Linked DNA regions of Arabidopsis thaliana. The protein of the gene in region 3 interacts with the protein of the main gene of each other region in a pairwise test. Each region holds a gene or a part of one and is shown on either strand. Other genes may lie near its edges. The genes, in order: TRY, AT2G34140, AT1G36060 and AT4G31420.

The links.
Region 1: the proteins of AT1G36060 (region 3) and TRY interact in a two-hybrid assay, tested with the Arabidopsis thaliana proteins (one large-scale study listed by BioGRID).
Region 2: the proteins of AT1G36060 (region 3) and AT2G34140 interact in a two-hybrid assay, tested with the Arabidopsis thaliana proteins (one large-scale study listed by BioGRID).
Region 4: the proteins of AT1G36060 (region 3) and AT4G31420 interact in a two-hybrid assay, tested with the Arabidopsis thaliana proteins (one large-scale study listed by BioGRID).

What each region holds. Positions count from the first base shown.
Region 1 is NC_003076.8:21,580,051-21,586,265, forward strand, and holds TRY (Homeodomain-like superfamily protein), read left to right. Parts: upstream 1-2,563; 5' UTR 2,564-2,862; coding exon 2,863-2,926; intron 2,927-3,219; coding exon 3,220-3,307; intron 3,308-3,741; coding exon 3,742-3,910; 3' UTR 3,911-4,193; downstream 4,194-6,215. UniProt on the Arabidopsis thaliana protein: Transcription factor. Involved in epidermal cell fate specification. Negative regulator of trichome development, including endoreplication, by lateral inhibition involving intercellular interactions.
Region 2 is NC_003071.7:14,412,106-14,417,889, reverse strand, and holds AT2G34140 (Dof-type zinc finger DNA-binding family protein), read left to right. Parts: upstream 1-3,101; 5' UTR 3,102-3,189; coding exon 3,190-3,702; 3' UTR 3,703-4,196; downstream 4,197-5,784. UniProt on the Arabidopsis thaliana protein: Transcription factor that binds specifically to a 5'-AA[AG]G-3' consensus core sequence. Transcriptional repressor of 'CONSTANS' expression. Regulates a photoperiodic flowering response.
Region 3 is NC_003070.9:13,453,304-13,459,450, forward strand, and holds AT1G36060 (Integrase-type DNA-binding superfamily protein), read right to left. Parts: upstream 3,034-6,147; 5' UTR 2,360-3,033; coding exon 1,415-2,359; 3' UTR 1,193-1,414; downstream 1-1,192. Other genes in the region: AT1G36050 (Endoplasmic reticulum vesicle transporter protein), read left to right, coding at 58-380.
Region 4 is NC_003075.7:15,244,376-15,251,274, reverse strand, and holds AT4G31420 (Zinc finger protein 622), read left to right. Parts: upstream 1-3,216; 5' UTR 3,217-3,511; coding exon 3,512-3,616; intron 3,617-3,886; coding exon 3,887-4,453; intron 4,454-4,544; coding exon 4,545-4,714; intron 4,715-4,816; coding exon 4,817-5,035; intron 5,036-5,131; coding exon 5,132-5,288; 3' UTR 5,289-5,459; downstream 5,460-6,899. Other genes in the region: AT4G31430 (flocculation protein), read right to left, coding at 60-114, 218-282, 377-566, 824-994, 1,429-1,520, 1,600-1,706, 1,870-1,958, 2,108-2,160 and 1 more; AT4G31410 (E3 ubiquitin-protein ligase, putative (DUF1644)), read right to left, coding at 5,801-5,837, 6,127-6,899. UniProt on the Arabidopsis thaliana protein: Pre-60S-associated factor involved in the cytoplasmic maturation of the 60S subunit. Involved in the dissociation and recycling of other late pre-60S factors before newly synthesized large ribosomal subunits enter translation.

The DNA.
Region 1 (6,215 bases), on a different chromosome or scaffold from region 3:
GAAGGAATTTCACACCTCATTCGATTCGAGTCTAAAAGAAATAAACTACATCGTCTCCTCATTTCTCATAACTCTATGACCTATTAAATGTTAGTCAAATATAAATTTACTTCATATGTTGTTTGTGGATGGGGCTACTCACTCATATATAGTCATGTAGTGAAGAAACCTTATCATCTTCTAAAATATCACGTTTTCCATCTTGTTAAAAACCGCAAATACTCATATGTTGCATAAGAGTGTAAGCGGTTAAGTGAATATACTCAATTCGTATATAACGCTTTTCCAACTGAAAGCAGCAGAAACATTCATTGGACCACCTTAAATGTTGTCAACAATGTTGTTAACCAATCAAAACATCTACAGTTCAACAAGTTTTATTATTTGATTCGAGCTTTTACTTTGTGGGGTTTAAATTAATATTTTAATGACCCAGGTTTAATAAAATATAAAATACTCCTATATACATGCATGTATGGGGGCACTCGTATAATATGTGTAATCATTCGATACGTTACAAATAAATATATGTTTATTTAGGCCTAAGAATGTTAGTTGAATTGATCTACCAACAGCTGCAACCATGTTTCAAATCGGTTCAATATTTCTTTTCTTTCTCTTATAACTTTCTTATTAACTACAAAAATATTCCTTAATAGCAGTTCTTTTACGAGTAATCTATCTTCTTTTCTTGTGTAATATCAAATTTATTGTTCAACCAAAAAGAATAATTTGTACAAGAGTTTTAATTTTAATTAAAGTGGAAAGAGAAATGGATAGTGATTGCTATTATGAAAAATCTTTCTAGGAGGCAACATGTCACATCTTTGTTGTTGTTGATATAATCAAATAATAGAAAAGGTAATCACATCTTTGTCCTTTTGTACCAGAATTTTAGACATTAGTTTAGCTATGCAAACCAATTTCGTTCTTTTAGCTCCAAACTAAAGACACATTTTCATTGATGCATTCTTCGATATCGAATTGATTTGTTTATCAAAAGTTTATGAAAATCATTTATATTGCTATATTGTATTTAAGCTTCGAGTAAAGAGATATTTTACCAACTAGGCTTCCTATTAAAAAAATTCCAAATCTATCACATAATACACAGTTTCTATGCAATGAGGATGATGCGATATACATCACATGACTCGCCTCACACGATGTCTTTCGCCGTAGACTACAGATTTCTTCCGTTTAATCTTTTATCCAATTATGAATTATCTGGTAGGGTACTTTATATTTTGAAAATCTCTTTCGTGAGAATATGATAGTAATTGTATACTTTCTTACAAAATTTATTGAGAAGCGTACTTTATATATGATGTTTCTCACTCGAATTAAATACGTTAGTTTAATGGGTCGATTCAGATTTATAATAGATTTAAATATTTCGAAGAAAACGCAAATCAGGGATTTTGGTTGTATCATGTGTGAGAGATTGAATTTCTCCAGAAGCACTCATTAAATCGCGTGTGTAAGGAGTTGCCATACAGCGTCGTATGTAATGTCTTAGTCACTGTTCTAGAATTAAAACATATGTCAAATGTAGAATTAAAAAACAGGGGTTAAAATGTTAAATTATTCGGAGAAGTGGAATTATTATATTAAAAACATTGTGTGATTTTGGGATAAAATCTGAATCATGTTTTTTATTGTGCCAAAAAATTTCTGTTTCAACCTCTTCGTGGAGATGAAAGAAAAGTCAATCGGGAATGAGACTTCTTGTATAACGAATGAAAATATGAACATGTTGATTAATGAATTAATTAACATACGTACTATATTAAGTGGGAATATTAGGTATAGGCCTTCGATTTTCCGTTTTGTTTGGTTTTTTCGATTTTAATAATATTTCTCTAAATTAAAATAAATTTTAGTTTGGTTTATTTAAAATATTAATAAAATAATATAAATAACTATCTAATTAATATATTAAAAAGTATTTTCTATATATATTGATATAAATATTATTCCCATGTTTTATATTGGGTGACGTTATCTTTTAAGTAAAGTTGTAAGATATCTAACTTATTCCTACATTATAATAACTATCAAAATAAAATAACTAATTGTAGTGACAATGATGACTATCAAAATATGTATGTGTTTTGGCTCAAACATAGCGTTTAATAACAAACACAATGGACAATTTTAATAAATTTGATCGATTAGATTTTGTTTCATTTTCATGCACTAGATTAAGGTTCGAATTAGATTCATTTTAGTGTATATAGTGAAACTAATTTGTTACTATATGGAAAAAAAAATAAGTTTATTTTTGGTTCAAGAATTTTTATTCGGTACGGTTTGGTGTGTATGTCCAACCCTGAAAAAAAAACTTGAAAAACTAATAACCTAATAACAACTAATTTTCTTAGAAATACAAATTGGACTTGAATACAAAAATGGAAAGAACAACAACAAATCAATAACTAAAACATCGTTGAACTTGCATCTGCCAAATAAAAATCAATAAATCCCATTATTCTAAAAAGATAGTAGGTTTAGAAAAATTGAATAAATGGAAAAAAAAAATTGTTAGGATCTACGAATGAGAACAAAGTTAGCCTTCAAAATACTTACAAATCCCAATAAAAGACTTCATCTCCATGTGTATTTGAGTGTCAACGACAAGTCTACACAAAGGGTAAGAGGTCAACAAGACCACACAACACTTCTTACTATTAGTTTTGCAAAGGCCGTTCGTTGGACATTTCCTTCTCTCTCCTCCCCTCTTCTTCTTCTTGTTCGCTCTATAAACTCTCATCTCTCACGTCTTTTTTTCCTTACATTCTCCAAACTCAAAATTTCATCACATTAATTTCTCTCTATTTTTCTTTTCTTACTTCAATAGTAATGGATAACACTGACCGTCGTCGCCGTCGTAAGCAACACAAAATCGCCCTCCATGACTCTGAAGGTACCTCTCTATTCTCTATATATTTTCTATTTCCTAAATCCAATTTTATTAAACATCTTGAAAATAAATTTAGTTCCTAGCTAGGATCATATTCTCTTTGTATATATTCGTTAAAACGAGGGATACGTTTAATTACTTCTAAATTAGTTACACCTCGTGCTGACTAAAAGACTTATCAAGATTAGTTTCTAGTTTTAACAAAAATTAATATCTTTTTAAAAAGTTTATATTTGTCTTTTTTTGTTAGTTTAATATTGTTTTGAGTTTAATTGGTTTAATATTGTTATTTGCAGAAGTGAGCAGTATCGAATGGGAGTTTATCAACATGACTGAACAAGAAGAAGATCTCATCTTTCGAATGTACAGACTTGTCGGTGATAGGTAACAATTTCTTCTTCTTCTACTTTTTCTAAGATTATCCCAGCATAAAATAAATTTTATATTTTAGACATGTCTAGCTAAAACAATTTAATATGCAGGTATATACAATTTTACATACGTTAATTTAAGCATATGTACTTTATAACATATGTACAGTGTACCATGTTGTAGGGGAAGCACATGGTGTCCACTAATTTTCTAAAAAAAGACATTTAATTAAAGCTATCACGTTCATTAAATTATATATGTACACACATATATATAGAGATAAAAATAAGAACCTAATTTACTATTCTTATCAGTACGTACTCATGTATATAAATGCTTGGCTGGCTCAAAAATGGAAATTTTTGAACTGACAAATTATATTTTATTATGAAAATATAAATGCTAATGCTTGGGATAAAAATGTTTTTTTTTTTCTTTTGAATTAGGTGGGATTTGATAGCAGGAAGAGTTCCTGGAAGACAACCAGAGGAGATAGAGAGATATTGGATAATGAGAAACAGTGAAGGCTTTGCTGATAAACGACGCCAGCTTCACTCATCTTCCCACAAACATACCAAGCCTCACCGTCCTCGCTTTTCTATCTATCCTTCCTAGTGTTTTTGTTTTTAAGCCAACGAAAAAAGAAAATAAAAAAATTATAATAGATGTATAGTAGTGGTTCTTGTTAGTTTGAAGAATTCATCATCTATTGTTTTCTTTTTGTTGTTATTTCATTTATAATTTTTATAGTATAGGTTTCATTTGGTAATCAACTTTAATCCATGCGGTTAGGTTTTTTTATTTTCTCGTCTACGACTTTTATATCCACAACTAGATTTTAATCCGCGGTATATCGCGGTATAATTTACTTTTTAAAGTTAATATATATTAAAACTTGCAAATTTTATTTTTATAAAATATTTTTATTTTACAGTTTATAATTGTTATTAAGTAACGCTATACAACGAATCCATGAGACAATTGTTAAAAAACTGAAGTTTTAACCCTTACTAAAACAGCATATTAATAATATTTTAAAAATTTATAAATATTGATTCAAATACATCCACCATATAACTCAATTCCAAAATAAAATCTGTTCTGTAATTTCTTTACCCATCCCGTGATTTATTTTTAAAGTAGTAATTTTAAAAATTTGAGAATTATTTATTACATATAAAAGTTTTACAAATTGTATCATTCTCTAATACATTTATATTTTATAGTTTAATTTTATATATAGTAACATTTTATATTTTATATTCTCTAATATATTTTATATTCTCTAATACATCAGTAATTAGAAAGTAAAAAAAATTGTGTATTAGATTTAGTCCTTTGAAAGAACTTATCAAGAGGAAACTGATCATTTGTGCAAAAATGGTTGGGTAATATTTTAACTAATGACAATAATTTTAAATAGTAAAAAAAAAAAAAGAAATACTCCATTAGTTATAGTTGACTAGTATATTTTGAAGAAACTACTTAAAAAAATTATTACAGAATTAATGACATAATGTATCTATACTTTAAAAAAAATGTAACTAAAATAAAAACCCCGATCCAATTCTAACCAAAAGTTATGAACACTTATTTTCACAATCACTTAAATATTAGGTGTTACATGCTTGCACTAGCTATATATATGTAGGACTATGAAGTATGAAGTATGAACTTAATTTTTCTATAAACGTTTTAAGAAATAAAGAATCTATATATAGTATTGCCTTTCATACAAAAAATTATCAGTTTGAAAACTTTCTACCAACACGATAAAAAGTACTATATGAGATCATCCTAAACGTCTATTTAAAAAACGTGATTCTCATTGGTAAACGACTAATGAACGGACGGTTTGCGTCTAAAACTAACTTTTCATGGACAGGATTTAACGGATAGAATTTTCCATTATATGATTTTCATGATTACGAACCAAACGATTCAATTCTTCAGCTATATGTCGTTTCACATAAACTCACAAATCACAATCTTAGTTAAAGCTTTTAGGCCCAATAGTGTCCCAATTATTTTAGCCCATTATTTAACAAGGTACGACAGATTATCAACGTCACTCGACCAATACAAGTAAAGGTAAAACTATGGGCCGATAAAAAATGCCCAATTTCAGTTTTTACAGCCCAGTTGTAAGTTCACCAGTAGTGGATACACTGCGTTAGGACTATCCATTTCAGAGAATGTATTGATAATTCGGATATCTACAAAGTGACGGAAAAAAAAAAAAAATCGGATATCTACAAACTACAATTTGAATAGCTAGGGATATTCACCACCATCAGTTTTGGGGTTTGGTTGATCTCTAAACCAGCCACACGAAGTTTCACAGTCAAAAGTTTTAAACCCAACAATATGTTGATGTTGAACATGGATGATTCGATGTTGCATCTAAATGTTGAGATTGGATGCAACATCTACAAAAAAATATGAGCATGGCTATAATTTTATTATAAGCTTAGTTTGTGTAAAATCCGAATTTATTGTGGTTTAAGTTGCATATTCCAAATTAGTTTGTGCACAGACTTGCCTTGCATAGTTGCATAACAACAATTAAACATTTTCTCACATCCCAAACATGATGTAAAATATGATTCTACTGATAAAATGTGAAACGAGACATTTAAATTAGTTCTTACACAAATATATATATATATACAATATAAATGTGTATATATTTACATAATTCTTTTTTTGAGACAAAATAATCCATACTTTCACCCAAAAAGAACATCTTTTAAGAGTTTATAAAAGGTACAATCATTTTAGTTTTTTTTTTTTTTTAACATCCACTCTTTTGATTTTCAGAACATTTGCTGCGGCATGTAGAATCATTCTTTCTATTTACAAAAAAATATATCCCTTAACATTTTGTGTTGCAAGAAGAATATTATTCATGAGATCACTC
Region 2 (5,784 bases), on a different chromosome or scaffold from region 3:
GGAATGGTGTACACAATTCTTAAATGATTTAATATAATTAAACTTAATGGTATACATGTTGGTGTACAATATTATGATATACGAGATTTGTGACAGAATGATGTACACAATTTTAAATGATAACGTGTGAAATTGGTAGACATAACGTACAATATTTGGGGTATACTAATAGGGAATGTATAAACCATTATTTCAATTTACTGGTGTACATCATTTTGTACACTGGATTTGTACACTATCTCAAAAACTTTCATATACACCAAATTATTCACGATTTTATAGATTTAGTGTACAATATTTTTGAATATATATAACCTATTATTTCAATTTACTGGTGTACATCATTTTGTATACTGATGTTTGTACACTATCTCATAGACTTTCAAGTACACCAAATAGTTCTCTAGATTCGGTGTACAATACGATAGACGATTTAAAGAGTTGTATATGGTGTCATCTACTATTTTATTATTTTATTATTTTATGTACACCGTGAATATCATGTACACTATCGTTGTTTTATTTTTAAATATTATTGTCGTATACTATTATTTTATATTATTTTTGTACATTATCAAATTCAGATAAAACATGAGTGTGTTTGGTTTCAATGACTTAAGAAAATATGAGTTTTAATTAATGTCAAGCCCATGAACAATTCCAAAATTGGAGATGATATTGGGTTGCTTTTAATCAGGCCATTTTATTTCATCAAAACAACAGAAGGGTAAAATTGTACTTTACTAAAAGCTGTATTAGAAGGAGAGTTCTATTAGAGAGGAGAGATAAAACTACCTATTCCTCCTATTTCTAAAAAAAGTGTCTACTTCTCAAATTATTTTTGCAAATTACTCTCCAACTTATCTCTTTCAATAATCGTGAAATCTTCATTAAGTGTAAAAGTGATACATGATTAAGCTTAAATACAAGTAAACTAAACCAAAACTACTAACCAAACTTAACCACAACTAAACCAAGTATATACACTCTAATAGAATGTGTACGTTCGTTAAAGAACGGTCATGGCATATTTGTATTGGATGTTACTTAAATTTGGTAAATTTGAAAAGAAAAGCATTATCGGTAAAGCTGAAATCACTAAGATTTTTCTTTTTATTAATTTACAATAGACTATCCTTTTTCCATACCATGTAAAAGTGGTTCCTTTATGACTAGAAAGATACCAATGAAAATTCATACTACAATTTAAAGGGGAGATGAACATGAAATTAAACTCAAAGAAAGAAAAAGAGAGATGAACATCGATCAATGCTCTCTTTTTTACTTTCTTTCCTTTTTGTTAAAAACAATGTTCTCTTTTTTTTCTTTTACTTTTCTTCCTTCTTTTCTCCTTTCATTTCTAACACTTTCCTTAGTTTTACTTTTATATTTTATATACGTCAACCAAATATGGGATTAGGTTAATTGAAAGTGGCATATTTTCAGAAAAGTACTTTGCTTTGCTTTATCTTTCCTCAATGTTCCATTCAAAAGACTCCGTCTTTCAATCGAATATCAACGCATGAGAAAATTATGATCCATTTTGAACTTCACTGACGAGCCGGATCATACTAGGACTGGACTTATGGTCGTTGATACTTGAGTGAGATTATAGCTGAGATGGTCAATCCATCGACACTAGATTGGATCATTAATTGATCAGACTTAGCTCATTCGTCCGACCCACTTTACCATTTATATATAGTTTCAATCTGGCCACTTTGCGACAAGACATGGTGTATAAGATATTAGTAATTAAATTTAAAACAATTCGAATACTTATGAGAAGGCTACCGTGAAGAGGACCCACAAGAAGTCTTTAGAGCTGACAAAAGGAAGAAATATGAAATATGAGTAACGATGTCTCTGTCTCAAAAGCTCATACTCCTTTCTCTTTTCCTCTTTTTAACACTGACTTATTACCAAACATTTCTTTTTTTGACGGCTATGTCTTAAAAGTTAGATCACATCTAAAATATATATATACAGTATATAGTTCATCCATTCTAAATTCTAAAGATAAATATTTCAATCTTGATTTCCAAAAAAAAACGATGAGGTCAATCCTAAAGATCAGTATTAATTGGGGGTTTAAACACATACACACGCACAAATCCATCCAAATGTTCTTTGAAAAGAAAATATGTATGGGCCGGGGCAAGACTCCTAGGTATCTAGAGAGTTGCATTTCAAACCTAATGATAATAGATTATTTAAAGTTTTAGAAAAATGGAACTCGTGACTCGTGCACTGAGAAATCATTATCAAATTCGTAAAATATTAGAGAGCAAAAAGTCTGAACAAGACATTTTCCTTTTCATGAGTTACTGCCTTGTTCGTTTTGGATATTTCCTCCGTTTTATAATATAAGTTGTTATAGACCAAATTTTTTGTTTCACACTATAAATTGTTTTCAAGTTTTTATGCAAGTTATATATTACTTTAATACTTTATGATTATTTATATTTTACAGTCTCTTTTATGATTGGCTGAACTTTTTAAAAGTTAATATGCTTAATATGTGTGTTTTTAGCTAAAACAACTTATATTGTGAAACGGAGAGAATATTATTTTTTAGTATCTGTTTCATATTTTTATATCTAGATACTAGTTAATCAAAAAAAAGATCTATAATTTCGACAACCCTGAAATTCTAATTCGTTAATAATCCATGAACATAGACTCAAATTCGGATGTGAATAGATGGATCATGTTTATAGAATCTCTTTCAAGTAAATTTAATCTTATTTTAGTTGGATCACGTTCAAGCATCCACTAGCTTGTCTAAAATTGTTACGAAATAATTAATGTGTATTCATTTATTCTATAGAGTAAGTGGACGAAAAAAAGGGAAAACGTGTATGGTTTTACAGTAACTACTTACGAATTGCACTTTTCAAATAATTAGCTTTTTAAAGAAAGCTTTGTAGCTTGATCCGCATTGGCATTCGTGTTTTACGTGTAGATGTGAATTCAAGACCCAAAAGTAAAGCGATGAATGCGCCTATTACTACATGCTTTAAAAAGTTTTTAACAAATAAATATTTTAATCTCCACTAATTCAGTCACTTTTCTTCTCCAATTCCTGCTAAAAAGTTATACTATCATCTTTCTATAAAAAGACGTCTTCTCTATTTCTTACCCCCAACAAACTTTGGATAAGCTATTTTCCATTCTCTGCACGTTTTCATGGCGACTCAAGATTCTCAAGGGATTAAACTCTTTGGCAAAACTATTGCATTTAACACTCGAACAATAAAAAATGAAGAAGAGACACACCCGCCGGAGCAAGAAGCCACAATAGCCGTTAGATCATCATCATCATCGGATCTGACGGCCGAGAAGCGTCCGGATAAGATCATAGCATGTCCAAGATGCAAGAGCATGGAGACAAAGTTCTGTTACTTCAACAACTACAACGTTAATCAGCCTCGACACTTTTGTAAAGGCTGCCACCGTTACTGGACCGCCGGTGGTGCACTCCGGAACGTTCCCGTCGGCGCCGGTCGTCGGAAGTCCAAACCACCTGGTCGTGTCGTGGTTGGTATGCTTGGAGATGGAAATGGTGTTCGCCAAGTCGAGCTTATAAATGGCTTGCTCGTTGAGGAGTGGCAGCATGCCGCAGCCGCAGCTCACGGTAGTTTCCGGCATGATTTTCCCATGAAGCGGCTCCGGTGTTACTCCGACGGTCAATCGTGCTGATTATAATTATTTACTCTCTTTTTTAAAAAATAATTTGTTTTGGTTTTGGGGTTGAGTGGTTTTCCTCTAAACCCGTTGAAGAACGTGGTGAATTTGGTTGCTATTGGGTACATACAGGCTGGCAAAGTAGTTAATTTGTCATTTGTCAATCAATCGAATCCAATTACTACTTTAATTTACTACTCTCTATACAAGAGGATTCTTTTTAAACAATTTAATTAATATTATCGACCTAGGATTCGTATGCATTAGTATAGTGGCGTGTGTAATAAATTTTGATAGATTTGTCATTTGTGTTTAGAATTCCATATGGTTAACAAGATTTCTCCAATTACTTGTTGGAATACCTTATATAAGTCGGTTGTTGTGTTATTCCATATTTGTAATAGTCTTTTTTTAGATTGTGGATTAATGTTTTGGCATTCATGTGAAAGAGACTTGTTGTTATTTGCCATTTTCATTAATGTTTTAAGCATAAAAATGGTTAATAGATCAAACCTATATATATATATATATAAGATGAAACCTAATTACTTATTTCTTATATTTAAATACACTAAATCAATAGTCACTTTTCAATAACTGCAACTTATTACTTCCTACAAAAAGCCTCCACCTCTCGCTTCCTTTCTTCTCTGATTCAGTTTTCCTGCAACTTTTATGGACTATTTATTTTTTGAAGTTTCTGTATAGATTCACTGACATGGGCCAAAGGCAAAGGTAAATTACTGGTTGCATTTATATATGTTCATTGATTCTAAGTGCCGATGTATCCGGTTAGATTTTGATTATGTTTTGGGTGATTCTGTTTTTTTTTCTCTTAAGTTAATTCTGTTGATTTTATGTTTCCTTTCTTGATAGATCTATTGATGGGAGACTACGATTTCTCTTTTACAGTGCCCTCGGTGTGGTACGTATCATTTCGATAAAATCTTTTTCCTATTATCATTTTTATTTGATCTAAATGGAGTATCAACGAGTATTATTTTGAGATTCTATCAATCATTGTATTTTGTAATATTATTCTTTGTCGTCGTTTGCAATTAGTAGCTAATATTTACCACAAAAAGTTATGCAACAATGCATATGTTTAGGTTATTTCTTTACCTTTTTATTTTTTACAGGAATTCCTTACTTTCAAAAGAACTAACAATAAATCCAAATATTCAGATTGTAGAATTTCACAAGAAAAACTAGATTGAAGGAACAATTTAGATTATATAATGTGACTGGACTTGGCAATGGAACAAATAAAATGTTTGAATTCATTTTATTCAGTAAATATAAGAACCAACAATACAAAAGTCAATAAAATACATAATTCATCTGGTGCAACAACATCTTCCCGTTTTAGGCCCTGGAACACAGTTTCCATCATCATACCCTTTCGTTATACAGTCATGGAAGCATTCAAAACGTTCGTAATACCCTGGACTACATCGAGCAAAGCAGTCTCGCCCTACACATATATATCAAACAAAAAATCTTATAAAAACATGTAATACACTACTACTTTTTTTTCACTAGAAATAAATATTTCACTAAAATTCACTAAAGGATTACAACGGTGGATTACATATGTCGGGAAAGGAAATAACCCTTCCAAAAACTAAGCCGGCGAGTGAATAAAATTTTTGGAGACAAAGACGGAGAAACAAAGAGAAAAACACCAAGAACAAAGTTTGATCCAAAACTTTCCCACAGCCTCAAAAATAAAAATTACACAGTCGAGTATTCTCTAATACACATACATATATTTTGGGAAAACATATTCTCTCACTACAAGAAAACAGTCGTTTTGTGAGGGAAGAATTACTCGTTAATCCCTCGCAAACAGCTACACGCAACAGATTTGCGAGGAAAACGAGTTCCTTGCAAATCGCTTCTCGCAAATGGTTATATGTCGCAATTCCCTCGCAATTGTTGCGAGGAACTGTTTTCCTCGCAAATCACACGCAATTGTTGCCTAATACTTCCCTTGCAATAACTGCGACGGATTTGCGATTCTTTTTTACTGCCTAGCAAATCTCTAGCAGAATTTGCGATGGATTTGCAAGCGTTCTGCAACGTTTTTTCTGATAT
Region 3 (6,147 bases):
GAAGATATTATGGGTTTTGAATCTGAAGTTAAGTCTTGAGTCTATCTTTGATTGTAGTGTATGGATTCAATGAATGGAAGAAAAAGAAGCAAAACAGTCTCCATAATAAACGCTTAGAGTACAGAGAATCATTATTAGTATTGACGAGAAAGTTGTTATTAGTGAATATATTAATTCCGATTGCAATATATGTTAGGTCTCGGTTAATACTCGGATTCGAAGAACTGAACCAGAACCTATCCGAAATATCGGTTTGGGTCTGTTTTGGATCCTCTAGAACATTTGATTGGGTCTTGTCTTCATATATTTTCGGTATTGGTTCAAAAAGGATAATACCTGATAAATTAACGGGAACTCGAATATATTTGAAGCCTAACTAAACTCATGATCTCCTTTAACCTATATTGCCTGGTTTGATTGGGAACATCGGGTTTTTCTTTTCGAGTAGTTTGGATAAATTTGAGTATAAAGTAACCAACTTGAACTGTATCCGATAATTTTCAATTCACCCATATCAACTATCCGAACTGATATGAACCCGAAGGTTACCAAACCAATCCCGAACAAAATTTTAAAATACCCAAATAGTACCTCGATTCCTAGTACGAAACCAAAATCCAAATACTCGAGTCGAACCCAAACCGGTACCCGAATGTGCAAGCCTAATATATGTGCATTCTCTCATTCCTTTGGCTTGGCAATTGGTTTCTATATTTGCATGGACACTTTTATCATCCAAGTCTTCCTTTCTCATTTGACAACGTTTGCTCGTAAAAAAAACTCACTTTGGTTACCATTGTTAAACACAAAAAAAGAAATCTAATCTTTTGTGTTAACTTAAAGACTTGATAATTGTTTTACTTTTTTTTTTACTTATTATCTATCACTCGGTCTATTCTAAAGAGAAAGCATGAGAATGTCGTCAACGTAGGCACTTTGTATGAGGTTATCTTTATACCACGTAAAGTTCAATCAAGGATCCTTTTCTTCCACTCTTGTGTTTCTCTTTTGACTTCTTCAAAATAGGACCAAAATTTATAATATTAAGCTAGAAATTTAGCAATTTAAATTTTAAGTTTTCACTATATTGTTCCCTTTTAGACTAATTTACTTTTTAATCATTTCTAAGCTAAGCACAATGGTCCTGTCGCAGAATGGAACTTCACGATTCTAATGTGTTACAATATATTCATAGTAGTAATACTAACCATATTCATTTCAATTAAGAGAAAAGAAGAAGGGTCTACATGGTACGGCATGAACAAAAAAGCTTGAGCTGTCCATAATTTACACACTTGCATTACATTCATACAAAATGCTAAATTACAAATTTTACGCACAGCTAATAACCCTAAAGTTTAAAAGAAAATACAAACAAGTTAAAATGAATAAAAATGAATTGAATCCTAATTTTTCACGATAAAATTGAAGCCCAATCTATCTCATAAGAAGGACACTTGCCGAGCATGAAATTTTCATTCCATGGCATCTCTGGCTCTTGGCACATCTCCTGCACCATAACATCCGAAGTCGGTGAACCCGACCCATCACTTTCACCCGACCCGGAATGTTGTTGTGGCGCTGACGGCTGCTCAGCTGAAGAAGCCGCGGCTTTAGCTCGTTTCCTCGACGTCCTCTCCGTTTTGCCCGGCTGATTCTTCGGCTCAGCTAATATGGCTTCTAGTTTAGCGTCTACGGCAGCTTGAATAGGACCATATTCGCCGGTATCAGACGGAGACGAGCCGGTTTGGTATCGGAGAGCTGGGAAGTTAAGCCGAGCCGAGTCACCACGAAGCTTAAACGCGGCGCGATCATAAGCCAACGCGGCTTCTTCAGCCGTGTCGAATGTTCCGAGCCAAAGTCGGGTTCGGTTCCTGGGTAAACGGATCTCCGCGACCCATTTTCCCCAATGTCTTTGCCTCACTCCTCTATAGAGCTTAGCCGGTTTTGAAACCGAACCCGAACTCGGACCCGGTTGGGTCATAAAACCCGGTTGGCTCGGCTCAATGAAGTTAAGCATGCAAGTGTTGTTGTCTTGGTGAGTGTAAGTGATAGTGTTTTGGTAATGGAACTGAGATTGGTAGTTTTCGGGTTGTTGAAGATCCGACCCGAATGAAGATGGATAGGTCATGGATCCAGAATAAATATCCGGGTAAGAGGTTGTGGAATGTGAAGGGAATAAAGATGCATGAGGATTATAGTAAGAAGAAGAAGAAAATAGGTCGTTTGGGGCAGACGCAAACGCATCGTTTGAGGACGCAAACGCAGGATTTGAAGCAGACGTGGAAGCACTTTTGTAAAAAGGTTGAAGTGCTTCCATAAGCTCGCCGCCGTGGCCACCACCGAAGAGATCCGCCATCGGAGTTTCCTGAAATACAAAAAAAAATGTACTACAAAAAACAAGATTATATAAAATTATAATTAAAAAATGGTTGAAGAAATAAAACCTGTCTTTTTAGAAAAAATTCAAAGACTGGTTTTTTGGTTTATACAGAAATAAAAGTGATCAACGAGGTTTGAAATAAGCAACCTCCATAGATCAAAACTAAAATAAATTTATCAACAAAAAAAGAAATAAAATAAGAGGATCAAAACTTGAGGGAACTAAAAAATGCCCATGAAGTTGATCAACTCTATAAAAGAATGAAAGAATATTAATTGACAGAAAAAATCATAATATTTTTGATGGATATCGTTTTCTTGAAAACACTTTTCAAATACAATTTTAAACAAAAGTTTGTCGTTTTAGATGAGTTTTGGCAAAATATAAACTCATAAAGCAACACTTCATAAGAAAATCGTGATTTGTGTTTTCTCAAGAAAGACGACTGATGAATAGACAGGACATGGAAGAGTTTTTTTCTTTTGGTTTGAAGATGAAACGAAGCAAAGAAAGCAAGAAGAGAATAAACCCTAATTTCACTCAAATTTTAATCTCTCAATTTTTTTTTTCTTCTCTCACTCACACTCACTCTCTCTCACACACACAAACACTCTCTCTTTTGGAAGATGCTCTCAACCTCACCTTGGTAATACCCACCCAACTCTCACCGTTTATATAGAGGGCTTGTTCAATGAAGATAGATTAAAATATTGTTTGTACATCAATAATCCTAAAATAATGTACTTGACTTTTAAAAAAACGTATTTGACTTTAAAAAAATGTATTTGACTCCCACTATATAAGATACATATTTGATCCAAATATATATAAAAAAAGAAGTATAAAAAATAATTGAATAAAAACTGAATATAAATGTTGTAACTAGTGAAATGTTTCGAAGAATAGTTATGAATCCCTTGTTCAAAAAGTCGGCTGATCGGATAGAGTCTACCGCAATTTTGTCCAAATCGAAAAGATTAATCGTTGATCTGATTTATTCATCATAGATCCGCTTAAACCTGTCTAGAGGATGCCTAGTCCAAAACTTTTTTTTCATTTTTTTTTATTTTTTAAGATAAACATTTAAAAATATCCAACTTTTTAAATATCCAAATTTAAAACATCAAACTTATGTTCTAATTTGTATGAAAAAATCATAAATTTGAACTTAAAATCTTGTTTTCATGTGTTTAATACAATTCTAAAAACAATGTTATATAATTCTCTTAATTGTAATGGAGGAATATGTTTTAAAAATATTAAATAACCCTAAACTTAATTTCCGATTAATTTTCGTATAATCTCTGATTTTTTTGTTAGGTGATAGACCTATCCTCATCGTTCGACTAGCGCCTAACGATTTTTTGAGCAAGGATTATGACAAAGTGTTTTGGGTCAAAACCCACATAAACATTTATACGGTTGAATTTGTTCTTCTTGGTAGCGAGTACGGACGAACTACGGAGTACTGTGGGCAGAGCTGTTCTAGACAGAAGCATATCAAATATGAACTTGCGGACTTGCGTAAGCATAAGTACAACGGTTATTTTGGAAACAAATCAATACTTGAATTGGTTATATTGTTTGATGATAATTATTGTAGAGTTTGAATATTAACATTCGCACGACACTTGGACTCGTACGTGGAGACTGAAGATTCCATGCAGAGCAGAAGTTAAAGGTGCATTTGTTCTTAGCCAAAGAAACCAGGTCACATGTCCTTAGTGCCACAATTCGCATTTTTTGCCATTTTTGCGGTGTTTACGTTTTTTCCTTCTTTTTGCAACAGTCGTTGAAAATTAGTTGAGAAAAAAAGTGTTAACATCCTTCTGAGATCGATTAGTACTTCTACTATACCATTAAGTTACTATGCTTATACAAATAGATTTATCGAAAAACATTTAAGACCAATTGTTATGCAAGTATATTCAATTTTTATTATACTCCTTCCGTTTCACTTTAAGATGTTTTAGAGAAATTATTTTGTTTTATTAAGTGATATTTTCAAATTTCTACGCAAAAATATAAATATATTTGAAATGTTAAGAAAAATTATTGTTATAATAAAAATGTTTGAAATATATACTTCTAAATGTTTTGCATTTGAATTTTCTCCGAACTTAAATGGATGATGTTATGAGTAAAATGAAAGAGTGGCTTCATAAAATTACCACTAACACACTTCATTAACAAAAAAACGTTTTCTAAAATAGTGTTTTCTCTTTTCAATTCAGTAATTTTGTTGAAACTAAATTTGACAATTTTAGCATCTTAATAATGCTCGAAACCTCCAACCGTCAACAAATACCGTTGGAACAATAACAGTGATATAATTAAGTGATAATTTAATTTAATGATGAAATAATACCTTCTTCAATAAGTGATTTAAGTGATAATTAAGTTGCAAGATAGAAGAGCCACGTGAGAACGAAAGCATCACGTGATCTCAGGCGCAATTTGCTGCAAGTGGGAAATTGGACTTTACGTTGGCGTCGCCTCGAAATTAAGACTCACGCGTGTGATTTTTTGTCCCAATTAATCTCTCTTTTCTTTTGCTTACACACCATTTTTAACCTAAAACATCAATAATAGTACAATTCACAAATCTTATATTTACGGACGGTTGCGGTGCTAACTTTTAAAATCAATAATAGACATTTCAAAAGTTTCGGACCATTCTAAACCATTCAAATCGATGAATTTTAAAAGTTCTTTTTTGTAAACATTTGCGATTATAGACAGTTAGCAAAAAAGAAAAAGAACAAAAAAAAGTCATTTAAACAACAAATAAATAAATATTATCAAATCATATATATATTAATGTTCATTCTCAAAATTTTAAATACTTTTTCCTACTAATATCAGTGTATCAATCCCAACTGAAGAAAGATAATAAATAAAAGTAGTATTGTAATAATATTGTCAATTTGGAAGATTTATGAATTAGTTTGTCATATTTCTATGAAATTTACAAATAGAGCTGTGCTTATAAAAAAGAGGCGGATGCCTCAAACCCCAAATTTTCTATTGAATATTAAGGCTCCAATTTCAGATATATAGGTAGTTCAATTGGTCAAAACTTTGTATATTTGAGTGTCTCGTTTTAAGTTTGAGTTCATAATGATTAATTCCCAATATTTGGTCATAATATGTTTTTTCCTTACGTTTAAGAAATAACATCGTTTCTTTTATAAATGTTCAGTTTTTTCTATATTATTATTTTTTATATCATTTATATAATGTATATTATTTATATTTCTGTATTCTTTATCAAATTTTGAAAATTAGACTATTTGTATTTAAATAAACAATTCTGTATTTTATTTATGATCCAGTAAACCATTAGTTTTCTTTTACTAAACAAACTAAAATTGTAAATCTCTAATTCTTTAGAACACTATAATAGATTTTCATATTTTTCTATTTATATTTTTTTCCAATGTAAAAATGTTTCTAAATAATTTTTTTAAAAATTAGGTACGGGCTCACATTTTCAAAGAAGCTTGACACGACTCTAATTATGATATATATATAATTTTATTATTAATTATATTTTATCATCATAATATAAGTTTTTATTATCAAGTATAACAACGGATGTACAACTGTTAAATGCATAAATATTATATTTATTAATCATTTTTGATTTAATAGTTATTGTATCCGGTAGTTAACTAGTCATAATTTTTTATTAATTTAAACCGCTAAATTAACTAGTCATTCAAAATGCTTATTAACATTTGAAACTGCAGCCACACACTTCT
Region 4 (6,899 bases), on a different chromosome or scaffold from region 3:
AGTATAAAAAGCGAAGATGAGAGAGTGTATACAAATTAAGGATTAAGGGAGAAACTAACGAGATCTAGTGTGTAAAACTCCTGTTTCTTTGACGGCTTGATTAGCTTCCGTAGTCTTCACTCAAGTAAAACACACAAGGACACCAAAACAAGAAAGATTGGAACTGCAAGTTTTTTCTTGGTAATGAGAGACACATAGTGTAAAGAGTGCTTGATACCTGATTGTGCTCAGAGGTAGGTATGGCTGAATTTGGTAGAGCTCTGCTTTGTTCATTCCGTACAGCTGAAAGAACAGAAAAGAAGAGTTAATTTCAGTTTCAACTCATGTCTTACTGAAAAACTTCTTCCACGTGTGAATAAAGAAAGAAAAAAAACACCTCCATCAGCATTCAAAGACGAAGCATTTCCTTTGAGCATATCAGTCGCTAAAACATAGGGGCTGTATTTAGGTTCCAAAGAGGCTACACTACTGGGACTTTTAAGCATTTCCTCGGTTGCTTTAGCTCTGACTTTGCGAATTTCATCTTGAATATTCCATGACTGATTAGAACCGGACTTCCTTTTCAGCTGCATTTGGTAACCAATGTCAGAATGAATAAGGGTAAATTTGAGAGAGCCATTGAAAATACATATAACGGTATGCAACTTTTCTTTAGGAATAGCTGGAAATAGTGTCCCACAAATTCCTCGTGGTTATCTAACATAAACAATAGAAGTTAAGCAGAGAATTTTATCTCATAAACCAAGATGAAACGACTTCAGACTTTCAAACAACATTTGACCAAAAGAAAAGTATGCACTGCTGGAGAACTTAAAATTCTAACCTTGGATGAGGAAAAGTTTCCAGCGCTATAAGGAAGGGGTGTCCCTTGCACTCTTGCTGATGATGGTGATCGAAAATCTAAATTATTCGCAGCTGGAGATCCCCATGGCAGACGAGCTCGCATATAAGACTTGGCCACGTCCACAGGCGATCCAGCACCATCTTCAGTTGCCTGGAGATTTAAACTAATGGCTGAGATGGTGATCATCATTTAAAGTACAATGGAAAAAGAATACTGTGAAGCGAAGCTATCAGAAGTTGACCAAAATCATGTAAGTAAATGGTCTTCATAGTCAAAAGAAGAGCAACAATATGGATCTTTTGCATTTTAAGCGGACAAAAAGGTATTTCCCAATCAGGACATTTCAGAATTAACGTCACCAGATGGCCACACGCAGAATTCTGAACAACCTACTTTTGCAAGAGAGCTTTAAGTTGCTGATCACATGGATTGGCATATAACAATCAAATCATTTTACCCAAACAGAAGATGTCTCCTTCTATAATAATAATGGCTTAGAGCACGGAGACAAGATATCACAAAAAAGTTGATACCTGCAGGCTGCAGCAATTAGAACAGTTAAGAAGCAAGTTTCCAGAACTTACTTTATACTTTGAACTTGATCCTGATTTCTTCTCCTCCAACCATTTTCTTGCTTCCATGACAGCTGTATTGGACATTTCACCCACATTCACGTCTAGAAATAAAATAGAAAAGAAGACGTTATCACATAGACTAATCCGGTCTACTTGCACAGTCTACCATCAGTAACATACCGCTTGTCAATCCATAGTCATCATGACTCGTCTCAATAGCAGAGGGGACGCTGGGATGATCTACAACCCTAGCCTTGATGATATCTATTAACCTATCACCCTCTTCCCTGAAACAACATACACATGAATGAATAAGCAGGATACAAGATCAGCTTAGATTTGGTAACTACACACGTCTCAGAAAGATTCTTTAAGCTATGAGGTGTAAATAATAAGAATAGTCGAGGAGGCTGCTACTTATGATGTCCAAAAAGCCAGGCAGAGAAATACCTTGCAAATGTTTCTTGCAAGAGAAGCTGCTCAATTACACGCTTAGAACTGAGTCGTTGAATGCTTGGTTGCTGGGCACTCAGAAGGTCCTATTCACACAAGCACAAAAACTGAAATTATGCTTTTATAAAAAAAACTCTCAGTTGAAAACGTGTTAGCTTCACGAACTTTACTTCAAACAATTATCATAGGACTACAGTGGCATAGCAATCACCAAAACGAACAAGGTGGTTAGTACCTCTTCAGTAAAATCGGGATTGTTCTTCTCAACATCCTCATCACCATCAATATCTGCAAACAAAGAAGAAAACATATAAAAATCCATACATTAAAAGAATAAGACACAACAAAGCTGGTTGGTATTCTCAATCCCAGAACTACATTATATGAATAAAAATTAGAGCTTTAGAATTAGTATGAAGTTTATAGCTTAGAAGTAACCTAACTAAATAGAGTACAACAATGCTTAACTGCTCTTAAGTCCCACATATTAAAGGAAAGAGAAAATGGGAAAGCTTTAAGTCAAACTTCACATTTCAAACGAAACGGTAGCTTTCAGATTCGACCAGACAATAAACCAAAAATTCAAATTAATCCTATCTAAACTGAAATAAATGGTACAAACCTGAAGATGAATCCTCGTCCTCCTCCGAAGATGAGGAAGAGTCGGAGAAGACGACGGAAGAAATGAATTTTCCGGCGCCGGAAGCAATTACGCTGGCGGGTTTGTAAACGAGCCTGGAGATCCAACTAGGGTTTTGCTGAGGAGGATCTCGGGATCTCTGAACGGGGCGCTCACACGGCGTCCTGACAACAGCGGTGCGTCGTGGTCGAACAATTTTCCCACCGACTCGAGGCTGACCTGCTCCGGCGGCGTAACCGGAGACGGAATCCATGGTGAAAGTGAGAGGAGGAGGGAGAAGTTCGTTGTAGGAAATAATGAAAGTGTTGAGGAAAAATTGGTAATTTCTCGTTATTTGTCGTCTTCTTGTTTTTTTTTTTAATTGGGGGTGAATAGTTAGTTTCCTAAATTACAGGCCTGCGGTTAAAATTTCTTCCACTAATAAAATTAGGCAAAAACAAAACATTGCGATTAAAAAAAATTAATCGTAGTAAAATCATGTATTATATTCTTCTCTTTTCATATTTTGAACATATCACATGATGTTTAGATCTTATAAATGCAGTAATTTAATAGAGAGATTAGAATTTGGAAGAAAAAAAAGTTACATGATTAAACGAAGTAATTAATCAAGTTGTAAGTAGTTATTTTAAAAACAATATTAGAAAAATGTTTTTTGGTTACTCATACAGTAATACTTAATTCGTCAACTGTGTCAGTGTTACAAAAAGGCTAAAAGAATGGGCCAAATGGGCTACTCTTGTATCGGGTCAGGAACGGGTCAGTTCCAACCCGATCGGATCTAAAATGGGCGGGGCGCCTTCCTTTTCATTTTGATGGCAATCAATCATCATCAATCGACGCTTTTTTAGAGACAAACACGATCGCCGATCCATTTACGAGCCGTCGTTGCTCTACACATATCAACAACAAATCTTATCCTCCCAACTATCTTTTCTCTGATTTTCTTTTCTTCTCCAGTTTCCATTTCTAGAATCGATCGATATTGAAGGAGAGAAGATGCCTGGTTTAACATGTAACGCGTGTAACATGGAGTTCAAGGACGAAGAAGAACGTAACCTTCATTACAAATCCGATTGGCACCGCTACAATCTCAAGCGCAAGGTTTCATTTCTTCTGCTTTCTCTATCGAATTTGAACTCAAGCCTATCTGTTTCTCGGGAAAATCTTGCGTCGGTGATGAGATGAAAGTTTCTGAGAAACAGCTTTTCCATTTTGCTATCGAAATTGTTTAGTTAAGGTTATGGAATCGTAGAGTTTATATGAAAATTTGTTTTGAAGCTTATTCTACTAAGGAACAAGGATTTCAATAATCATAGATTTGGTTACTTCTAGGCATTTGAATCTTTGTATTTCTGTAATTTTTTATGTTAGGTGGCTGGAGTTCCTGGAGTTACAGAAGCCTTGTTTGAGGCTAGACAATCTGCTCTTGCTCAGGAGAAGAATAAATCAAATGAAGCACCTATGCTTTATACTTGTGCAATCTGTGCTAAAGGTTACAGGAGTTCCAAGGCTCATGAGCAGCATCTTCAGTCGCGTAGCCATGTTTTGCGGGTTTCACAAGGGACATCAATCAACGGAGAGGAGGATATAGCGATTATCAGGCAACTTCCTCGCCGTGTTCAACACAGGGGTTCCATTGATGATGATAGTGAAGATGAATGGGTGGAGGTTGATTCTGACGAGGAATTGGCTGCTGAAGAAGCCTCTGATTCTTTGTCTAAGTTGAATGTGAATGAGTCTGGATCTGCTGAAGATATGGATGATGATGGTGATGCAGATAAGTATGAGCTGGATCCAACCTGCTGTTTGATGTGTGACAAAAAACATAAGACCTTAGAGAGCTGTATGCTTCACATGCATAAGCATCATGGTTTCTTTATTCCCGATATTGAGTATCTCAAGGATCCTGAAGGGCTTCTCACTTACCTTGGTCTTAAGGTTTGGACTCATCAATTTACCATTCAGTGTTCGTTGTTGTCAAGCTTTGAAATTCTTACTCCTGTTTACTTATACATTGCTCATCATTTAGGTCAAGAGAGACTTCATGTGTCTGTACTGCAATGAGCTGTGCCGTCCATTCAGCAGCTTAGAAGCTGTAAGAAAACATATGGAAGCAAAGAGTCATTGCAAACTGCATTATGGTGATGGTGATGATGAAGAAGATGCTGAGCTAGAAGAGTTTTATGACTACAGCAGCAGGTTTCAACTCTCTTCTATCTCTGATTATTCTTGTTCTCGCCTGTATTCCTCGTTCTATGCCAAATCTTAATCCGCACCTTTCTTTGGAATATATGAATTGAGCAGCTATGTTGATGAAGCTGGAAAGCAAATTGTTGTATCTGGTGAAACAGACAATACTGTAGAACTCGTTGGTGGTTCTGAGCTCTTGATCACGGAGAAGTCCGAGAACACAACAACGTCTAAAACTCTCGGGTCCCGTGAATTCATGCGTTACTACAGACAGAAGCCACGCCCAACTTCTCAAGACAGCAACCAGATAATTGCCTCTTTATCTTCAAGGTTTGTTTTCTCCAAACCCGTTAATCATCCGAGTCTATCCAATCAGATAATCGGCAAGGTAAACTAAGGTTATTCCAACAAATGGTAAATTCTCAGGTACAAGAGCCTGGGTCTGAAGACAGTACCGTCGAAAGAGGAGACTTTGAGGATGAAAGTGCGCAAGGAGATGAGCAAGAGAGGCGAGACAATGCGTACCAAGATCGGAGTGAAGAGTAATGTCATAAGAAACTTGCCCAATAACGTCCCATATTAGTTTCTGTGTATGTGCCACTTGTTCTCAAGTGTTGGATTGTATGATGATTTCATGTACTTTTGAGTCTTTGACCAAGTTGTGTTGCTACTTGGTAATAAGAGTAAGCTTTAAAAAGAGTATGTTCACTGAAATAGAAATGTTAAAAATTAATACACGAACGTTGACTTCTGATTTACTCTCAATATCTACATTGTCCAGAGATGCATGTAAAACAAAGAAGAGACAACGACAAAAGGGTACTACAATATCCCAAAAAGGCTTTTTGTTTAGTTTTTGTACAAAGGCTGCGACTGCTGCGAGTAATGTCACAAGACAAACCTAAAATAAAATTTATGTGTAGAAACAAAAAGAAAAAGAAGAAAGAGGTCCAAAACCAAGAACACTGGCTACAAATAGGCTGGTCTGCATCATTTGCTTCGCTTCATTTTCCAGCTGACTGAGAAAGAACGAAAAGGAACATTACAGATTCACAAGAAGACAGTACCAAAAGCATAGAAACAGAAGGTTAATACCTAATTTTCATAGAAGCGGGTTCGACGCCTTCTTGAACTGTAAATCAGAGAAAACAAGGCATCAAGCAATGTCTCTTAAGTAACCATCATATATAGCACAAGAAAGCTACTAAACCAGGTCAACACCCCAAGCTATTATGCCAGAAATATCACACAATGGGGCCTGATTAGCTAATTTGTCATTCAAGAGGTGCCTAAAAACCAGGCTCACTGGTAAGCCTTTAATATCAATGCAGAATAATTATAAACTATGAAAGTAAGAATGTATATCTCTGCAGACAGCAACAATACAAAATTAGTGGTGTAAAGCTATAGATTATTCTGACCTTTGGTGCATAGAGCTACTTCTGTTAGCTCCACTTGTGCTGATGAACTCGTCATCGATCTCATCTACTCTATACTCCGGAAACTCTATGGATGCTACTGAGCTGTCATCAGAGTTGGAATTCTCATAGCTAGAGCGGCGACTCCCTCTCCTACTCTCACTCATTCTTGATCTTCTTCGATTCCTGGCATTCCTTATATTGTCAAACATTTGATAGAGAATACAAGATGTCCACCAGTTTCCTTCATTGTTGGGAACATCCTCAAATTCATCTCCTGTGTCATCATCTCCATATTCGATCACATAGTCCCCTAAAACCACTCCTCTTGGAACTTCTGAGTGAATTGTGCTCAACACGTCGATTATTTCAGACGACTGCTGGAAATTCTCCCAGTCAAGCTTCCGTGCTGGATCAATTTCTGAAGGACGAGAATCCGGATGCTCTGACTGAGCATGTTTGCGAAGCTCCAAGTAAGTACCCATAAACCTGCATCGTTCTTCCTCACAGCAACGTTTTTTCTCATCAAGACGAAGACGAGCTTCTTCTACAACAAGCCAGCCAGTAACTTCTCCTCTACACAGTGGACACACAGGTTTGCAACTCTCTTCTAAAACCTTAGAGCGAGGCTCATCAGGAGCAGGAGGTGATTCAGTACCACAGGCGCTAATGAAACGATCCAAACAGTTAGAGTGAAGGTGATCAGTATTGCAGACAAAAGCACGGCAACCGTTTCCGTAAGAAGAACACTGGAGAAGCACACCATTGTGAGGGAA